Linked DNA regions of Oryctolagus cuniculus. The protein of the gene in region 1 interacts with the protein of each later gene in a biochemical or structural test. Links are inferred from orthologs where the notes say so. Each region holds a gene or a part of one and is shown on either strand. Other genes may lie near its edges.

What was found.
Region 2: of the proteins of MAPT (region 1) and PTPA, one has a biochemical effect on the other in vitro, tested with the Homo sapiens proteins (2 studies listed by BioGRID). The link is inferred for Oryctolagus cuniculus from reciprocal best matches to the Homo sapiens genes MAPT and PTPA.

Annotation. Positions count from the first base shown.
Region 1 is NC_091448.1:17,253,872-17,257,394, forward strand, and holds part of MAPT (microtubule-associated protein tau), read right to left. Parts: intron 2,451-3,523; coding exon 2,385-2,450; intron 349-2,384; coding exon 1-348. UniProt on the Homo sapiens protein: Promotes microtubule assembly and stability, and might be involved in the establishment and maintenance of neuronal polarity.
Region 2 is NC_091432.1:232,229,419-232,233,427, reverse strand, and holds the start of PTPA (serine/threonine-protein phosphatase 2A activator), read right to left. Parts: upstream 2,801-4,009; 5' UTR 2,715-2,800; coding exon 2,684-2,714; intron 1-2,683. Other genes in the region: CRAT (carnitine O-acetyltransferase), read left to right, coding at 3,838-3,864. UniProt on the Homo sapiens protein: PPIases accelerate the folding of proteins. It catalyzes the cis-trans isomerization of proline imidic peptide bonds in oligopeptides. Acts as a regulatory subunit for serine/threonine-protein phosphatase 2A (PP2A).

The DNA of each region.
Region 1 (3,523 bases):
CAGGCACGTCCTGGCAGATCAGGCTGGGGGGCCCTGGGTCCGAGGCCTGGCCTCCTTGGAGCCCCAGCTCCCTGCCCAGGCTTTCCTGGGCCTTGATGATCTCAGGCCCCTTCTGCAGAGATCCGGGGGACACAGGCTTCGGAAAGGCCAGGCCCTCCTTGGCCAGGTCCCCATGTGTTGGTCCCCACTCTTGGCGGAGCTCCTGAGGGCCTCCTGGTGGAGGAGGTTCTGGGAAGACGGGATGCTGCTCAGGAAGGGGTGTGACCAACTCAGCCGAGGCTTCTGGCTGCTTCTGGCCCACAGGCTGCCCAGGTGCTGCCCTCTGCCAGCTGGCAACTCTCAGCGCCTCTGGATTTGAAGAGGCAGCAGTGGTCCAAGGTTAGCGAGGGCATGTGCAGTGTTTAAGAGAGGGGACCCGACTGCGACGTGGGAAAGGGCGTTTTAAACAGCGCAGCCTAACAAAGCAGGAGCCCCTCCCTGGGCTTATCCAGGGGTCTTGTGTGCTTGAAAGGCCAGCACCAATGAGGGGTCCACCTGCCACCAACTTCCTGTGTGACTGCGTGAGCACTGCCCCTCTGCGGGGCCTCAGTTCCTCACCTCGGCCCTGGGGACCTCCCAGGCCCCTTCCGGCATGGGCATCACTCCTGTGCTGGGCACAGGGACGTCACCATCTCTGGAGCTGCCCTGTGCCCCGTGCCCTGGCACCAGAGGAGCTGCTCCCCAGCCCAGAGCACCTGCGTCCCCCGAGGCGCCTGCATGGACCTGGCGGGTCCCTTCTCCACCCTCTCTCTCTCACTGCTGCCCACCATGCCCGGAGCCTGCTCTGGGAGACTGGATGCTCCAAGCTGCGTGAGGATCAAAGATGGCCATTAATGGACTGGCCACGGTTGGATTCCTTCCAACAGGAGCACACTCGCGAGGCTGGCACGGCCCGGCGTGGGGCAGATCCCGGGCCAGGTCTGACCGGCCAAACCATCGCGGCACGCCCACCTAGCCGGCTCCAGCTTTCTCACGCAAACAAGCGCCACCTGTGTGTTAGGGACAGGCGACCTGTGCGGTTCAGTTTCCCTACTGAGCCACCTGCATTTCTCCTGCCTCCAGCTCTCAGAATCTCACCTGCTACCAAGAGACTACCCGTCCTCCTGCCCAGCTCGCCTCTAGGCCAGACCTGGACCCCAGAGGATTCAGGCACTTGCAGGGAGGGGCTCAGACATGAGGGAGAGGTGGGAGAACACTCGGGCGCAGCCGTGGACACACGGGCGACATGGGGACCCCGCGGGAGTCGGTTGGGCCACAGGCACCGCGGGGAGGCCGCCTCAGCTCGGCTTCACCTCTGCCCTTGCCCCAGGCCCAGCTCCCGGGCTGACCTGAGTCCTCCTGGCTGTGGGCTGGCACAAGCCCAGCTGTCACAGGGGCCGGGGGAGTGGACCAGCAATTAGAAGGTCTCTGTCCGTCTGTGTTTTGTCTCTGTCTCTCTGCCTTTCCAATAAATAAAGATCTGTGGGAAAAACGCTTCCCCTTCTTTAAGACCCGGGCACAGGCGACCACTTCTAGAGGTTATATTTACGAGGTCTCCACTTTCACCGAAGCTCAAAACCCGACCTCAAGGAAGCGGGAGTCGGGATTCTAGAATCTCACACAGACGGGGACCCCTGAGGGACTCACACCCTAAGAACGTTTTTAAAGCACTCTGCCTTCACATGTCAGCCGAGAGAACCATGAGCCCACAGAGGGCAGTGACCCCTCTGGGAGCAGGGGTGGAGACTGAGCCTCAACATACCCCCTGGGACCCCTCTGTGGGTGCAGCGCCTCCTACAGCCAGATAGCCCAGGAGCGGCCTCCACGCCGGGCACGCCGGCACATCCCTAGCACTCTCCGGAGTAAGCAGCGTCTTCCCAGCTCCGCTGCCACCGGAAGCTTCCACACTGTCCGCGAGATGGCCAAGGTCATCTGCCCGGCAGGTGACAGGGAACAGACCCAGCCCAAGGGCCATCTCTTTCTGACCTCTCCATGTCCTAAACCCGGGAGGCTCTCAGACTTCCAAAGGTCTGGAAATGCCTGTGACAAATGGTTACAGAAAACCCGCTTTTCTGGAACACAGAAGAGACCCGGATGATGGTCTGGAGGCCGCACAGGACCAGGCCTGGGCAGTGACCACGCGGAGGAGGTGCTGCTCGGGGACAGACCTGTGGGCACTCACACTCGCCTCACCGCGGCCACTCCTTCTCAGCTCCCTGCCCGGGCAGGGCCAGCTTCCCGCAGGACACTGAACACCTTGGAACGAGCAGACTCCTCCCTACCCCCCAGTGCTCCCTCTGCCCTGCTCCCAGCCCCCGGCTGCGCCGGCACCTGTGGCGCACTGACCTTGACTGTGGCACACTGACCTTGAGTCACATGTCCCGCAGCTTGGTCTTCCAGGTTGGGGGTGTCTCCCACGCCGGCTTCTTCAGCTGGTGCCCGCGTCGGCAAGTGAGGAGACGAAAGCAGAGAGAGTTACTGACTGCACTCAGCAGGCCCCGGGCCTCCGGCACACTTCTAAAGCGCGCGGGGAGGGCGCGCCCTACGAGCCTGGGTTCCTCTGCAGACGTTACCACAGGGGACGGCGGGGACAAGGGTTCACCGGACACGAGCCATGACACCCGCGCACCTGACGGGTGACTGCGCCTTCCCTGCAGTCCGGGCCTCACTGCACCAGGACGCACAGGATGCACGCAGTTAGAGGAACGCTTTGCTGCCCGGCCCGCAGAGTGCCGGGAAGGTGGCGGGTCCAGGGAGAGAGAGGCCGTGGCTGCAGCAGGTGGTGGTGGTGGGGGGGCAGCCAGCTGGGCCCCCACACCTGCCACGACCCCACCTCTGCTAAAACACAGGCGCCAGGCCACCACCTCGGCGGAGAGCACGCATGACGCACAAGCAAGGGTCTTTGAGTCACGAGACAGCTACACAGTGACCGCACGGACGCCCAGCCTGGCGGCTGTCCCGGGGCTGCCATGGTGCGGGTGGGCTCATGGGCAAGACCTGCCTGGGGGTCCCTGCAGCCAACACCGTGCTGCCTACAAGGTGACAGCGACAGCCTGGGCATCTGAGAATAGCACCAAGAAGAAGCTGGGCCAAGTGCCCAAGAGCACAGTGCCTGGCGGGTGTGGACCAAGTTTCCAACAAGGTTACAGGAACAGGAGAGAGGTGCGGGGTGACAGCAAGGCCAGCTAAATGGTGGCATTCCTGTGTCCCTGCCAAGAGGTGGGGAGAGCTAACCCACCTTCATGGAAGAGCCACAGCCTGGCCTGCAATTGAAAGCTGCTGCCCCGGTGAGGGGCGCTCGGAGACAGGAAGGGAGGCGGAAGGTCGGCTCCGGCTGGGCAGCGCACGGCTGAGGGCCACTCCCCGCTGTCCAGCGAGGCAGGCCTGCCGCACGGGCAGCCGCACTGACCCAACGGGGGCACCACCGACGGGACGGGATCTGCCGCCACTGTGGCTGAGAGCTGACCCCAGTACGCAGGCTCCCACCCCACCCCACTGAGGACGC
Region 2 (4,009 bases), on another chromosome or scaffold:
TCATAACCCCACGTCCAAGAAGCTCTGACGCCCAAAGTGTGTTCAGTGCGTCTGTCCCACGTTCACTCGGCACAGAGTGTGCTCAGCGCGTCTGTCCCACGTTCACTCGGCACAGAGTGTGTTCAGTGCGTCTGTCCCACGTTCACTCGGCACAGAGTGTGCTCAGCGCGTCTGTCCCACGTTCACTCGGCACAGAGTGTGTTCAGTGCGTCTGTCCCACGTTCACTCGGCACAGAGTGTGTTCAGTGCGTCTGTCCCACGTTCACTCGGCACAGAGTGTGTTCAGTGCGTCTGTCCCACGTTCACTCGGCACAGAGTGTGTTCAGTGCGTCTGTCCCACGTTCACTCGGCACAGAGTGTGTTCAGTGCGTCTGTCCCACGTTCACTCGGCACAGAGACTGAAGCACTGAGGAGCGCCGGCACCTCACTGTGCAGATGTGCGCACCTCTGGCTCGGGTAATCTCGTCTGTGCTGATGGGGTGCTGCTTTCTGAACCAGGAAAAGCCGAATCCCAGGGTGCAGCTGGGCCCACGGGTTCTGCACAGGGAGGACAGGGAGCTGTGGCCCGAGTCTGCAGCTGGCGAAGTGCACTTCCTGCGAAGACGCACGTCTGCAGGGGCGCACAGGGCCCCAGACACAGGTGCAGGAGTCTGCTCCACCACCCTCCTCCTCAAACCTAAATGACACCAACCACGGAAAAAAGAGACAGCAACCTAAGAAGGTTCTGGAATATGTGACACCTGGGGCTCCAGGGAGGCCATGAGGAAAGGAAAAACACTAGACGCGCTGGAGACCGATGGCGACCCCGTGCGGGAGAAGGGCCGGGCACGGGCACACCCGGGACACAGAGGAGACCCCGTGCGGGAGAAGGGCCGGGCACAGGCACACCCGGGACACAGAGCAGACCCCATGCGGGAGAAGGGCCGGGCACAGGCACACCCGGGACACAGAGGGGACCCCGTGCGGGACAAGGGCCGGGCACAGGCACACCCGGGACACCGAGGGGACCCCGTGCGGGAGAAGGGCCGGGCACAGGCACACCCGGGAGACCGAGGGGACCCCGTGCGGGAGAAGGGCAGGGCACAGGCACACCCGGGAGACCGAGGGGACCCCGTGCGGGAGAAGGGCAGGGCACAGGCACACCCGGGAGACCGAGGGGACCCCGTGCGGGAGAAGGGCAGGGCACAGGCACACCCGGGAGACCGAGGGGACCCCGTGCGGGAGAAGGGCAGGGCACAGGCACACCCGGGAGACCGAGGGGACCCCGTGCGGGAGAAGGGCAGGGCACAGGCACACCCGGGAGACCGAGGGGACCCCGTGCGGGAGAAGGGCAGGGCACAGGCACACCCGGGAGACCGAGGGGATCCCGTGCGGGAGAAGGGCCGGGCACAGGCACACCCGGGACACTGAGGGGACCCCGTGCGGGAGAAGTGCCGGGCACAGGCACACCCAGGACACAGAGGGGGCCCGTGCGGGAGAAGGGCCGGGCACAGGCACACCCGGGAGACCGAGGGGACCCCGTGTGGGAGAAGGGCAGGGCACCGGCACACCAGGGCCCCAGCAAGAGGGACCGGAAGCTCTCTCCCCGCCTCCTGGCCGGCAAACCTTGTTCCCAGAACCCAAATTAAGGCCCCTACTATTAGTAAATTGCTACTTCAGGCAGGATGCTACATAAAAAGCTTTGTAGGCCAGGCGGTAACCTGCACGATGCTGTTATGGGAAAACGCGCTCCACGTCCCCCGCACCCAGCTCCAAACGCTGCGGGGCAGAGGCCTCCGGTCTCGGCCGGCGTGAGAACGGCTCCTGTGGGCAAGGCCAGCAGCGTGGGGGGGCGGGGGGGACACGTCCAGGCCAGGCCCTCCGGGAGGCCCTGCACCGACCAACGCCTCAGATGCCTCAATGCACACTCCCGGGGCAGGAACCTGTGTCCTTCCAGGACGGCCTGGAAGTCACTCAGACGGAGACCCGAGCTGCAGACACGCTCCCCAAGCCCCCGGGGACTCGGACCGCGACCCATCGCCGAGCCCCCACCGCGGCAGAGCCGGGTCCAGGAGAATCTGTTCTCTCTCGTTCCGGGCAGTGCGGGGCCCTGGGGGCCTCCCGCCCGCGCTGCACCTGCACGGGGGGCTCGGCCCAAGGCAGCCGCGACCCCAGCCTGCAGAGCCCGCACAGCCCAGACCCGGGTCTGTCTATCGCTCTCCTCCTGGGGAGCTGGGGGGCGCCTCGCCCTCCGGAGGCCTCTCGCAGCGCCCAGGGAATGCCAGGCCGGGCAGGGGTCGCGGGCCGCCCACCTCCCTCTCCCGCACGAGGCCGGGGTCCCCTAAGGCCAGCCCGCCGGCCGAGGCCCCAGTGCAAACACAGCTCAGAGGCCCTGATGCCCGCGGCGAGTCTCTGTCTTGCTCAACCCGCCTTCCTATAAACGAGAGGTTTGCACACCCGGGGCAGTTTCTCTCCATAAACCCCAGAGCCCGGCCCCGGGCCTGGGGGCGGAGGGCAGCGACCGGCCCCGGCCCCAGCGGCGCTCATAAACCGGGCAGCCGCCGGGCTCCGGCTAACTCCTCCGCCGGGGCAGGCGCGCCGAAGGCCCCCGCACCCGCCGCCCCCGAGCCCCGCCGCCCGGCCGGCGCCCCCGAGCCCCGCGCCCCCGAGCCCCTCCCGGCTGCGCCCCACACCACGGCCCTACCTGGCGGCGGCTGCCGCTCGCCCTCAGCCATCTTCCGCGGAGCCGGCGCGGCGCCCGCAGTCCCCTCTCGGCGTTCACCCCGCACCCGCTCTTCAGGTCCCCGGCTCTGCCACGGGCTCCGAGTTTTCCGGAGAGCAACGAGCGCCGGTCTGCTATCACCGAAAACCGAGAATTAAAGTCACCCCCGCCGAGACGACCGCCATGCTGGTGCCGGGCGCTCAGCGAGCATGCCCAGCAACGGCCGGCTCGCGACGGCCGCGGCGACGACGGGCGGCCGCCATGTCAGTGCGGGGCGCCTGCGGAGCATGCGCACTGAGGGGCCGCCATGTCAGTGCGGGGCGCCCGGGAGCATGCGCACTGCGCCCCAACTGCCGGGCCGCTGCTCGACCGCTAATGGCCCGCCCGGCAGCCGTACTTTCGCGGGTGTCAAGTTTTTGTGGAGGGGTTAAGGGGGGTGCAGCAGCCATGTTTCTGGGAGCCGGTCCCGGCTGTCATCTTAATCTAAAGAATGTCAGAGGACATTCCCGTCACCCTGTGTCTTCCTGCCGCCTATGAGGGCGCACAGCTTCAATGGCATTTGGAGGCGGGGGGAAGAGCTGAACCCTGACCTCGCCTTACCCCTCTGCCTCAGCCCCAGCGCTCCACGGTGTCGCACAACCGCTAGCTGCGCGCCGCTCGCCTCCCCGCCCGCCGTGGCCCCGCCCCGCAGTGGCCCCACCCTAGCCCGCTGTTGGCCCCGCCCCTCCTGCCGTGGCCCCGCCCCGGGCTCGCTATTGGCCCCTCCCCGCAGTGGCCCTGCCCCGAGCCCGCTGTTGGCCCCGCCCTGGGCTCGCTATTGGCCCCTCCCCAAGGTGGCCCCGCCCCGGGCCCGCTGTTGGCCCCGCCCCCGCCTGCCGTGGCCCCGCCCCGGGCTCGCGGCTAGCCGCCCGGGGCTCCGTGACCAAGGCCCCGCCCCGGTGTCCTCCCCGGGCCGTCCGCCCGCCGCCCGACCGGCCCGGTGGGTGGGCGCGGGGCCGCCTCTACCGGCTGGTGGCGGTGACTCGGCGACCTTGGCCCTGAAGCTCTAGCGGGGACCCACCGGCCGCAGCAGCCAAGCGGACTTTGCCCGGTTTGGTGGGCGGAGCGGCCTGCGCGTCCGCGGGCAGACAGCAAAGATGTTAGCCTTTGCCGCCAGGACCATGGTGAGTGCGGACGGAGTCCGGGCGGGAGGGCCCCGGCCGGGCCGGCTGCGCCACTGCGCCGGTCGGGGCGCGGGCCTGGGAGCGGCGCGGCCGGGGGCTCTGGCTGGGGCGGGGCCTGCAGGGGGATCCCCCCCAACCCCGGTGT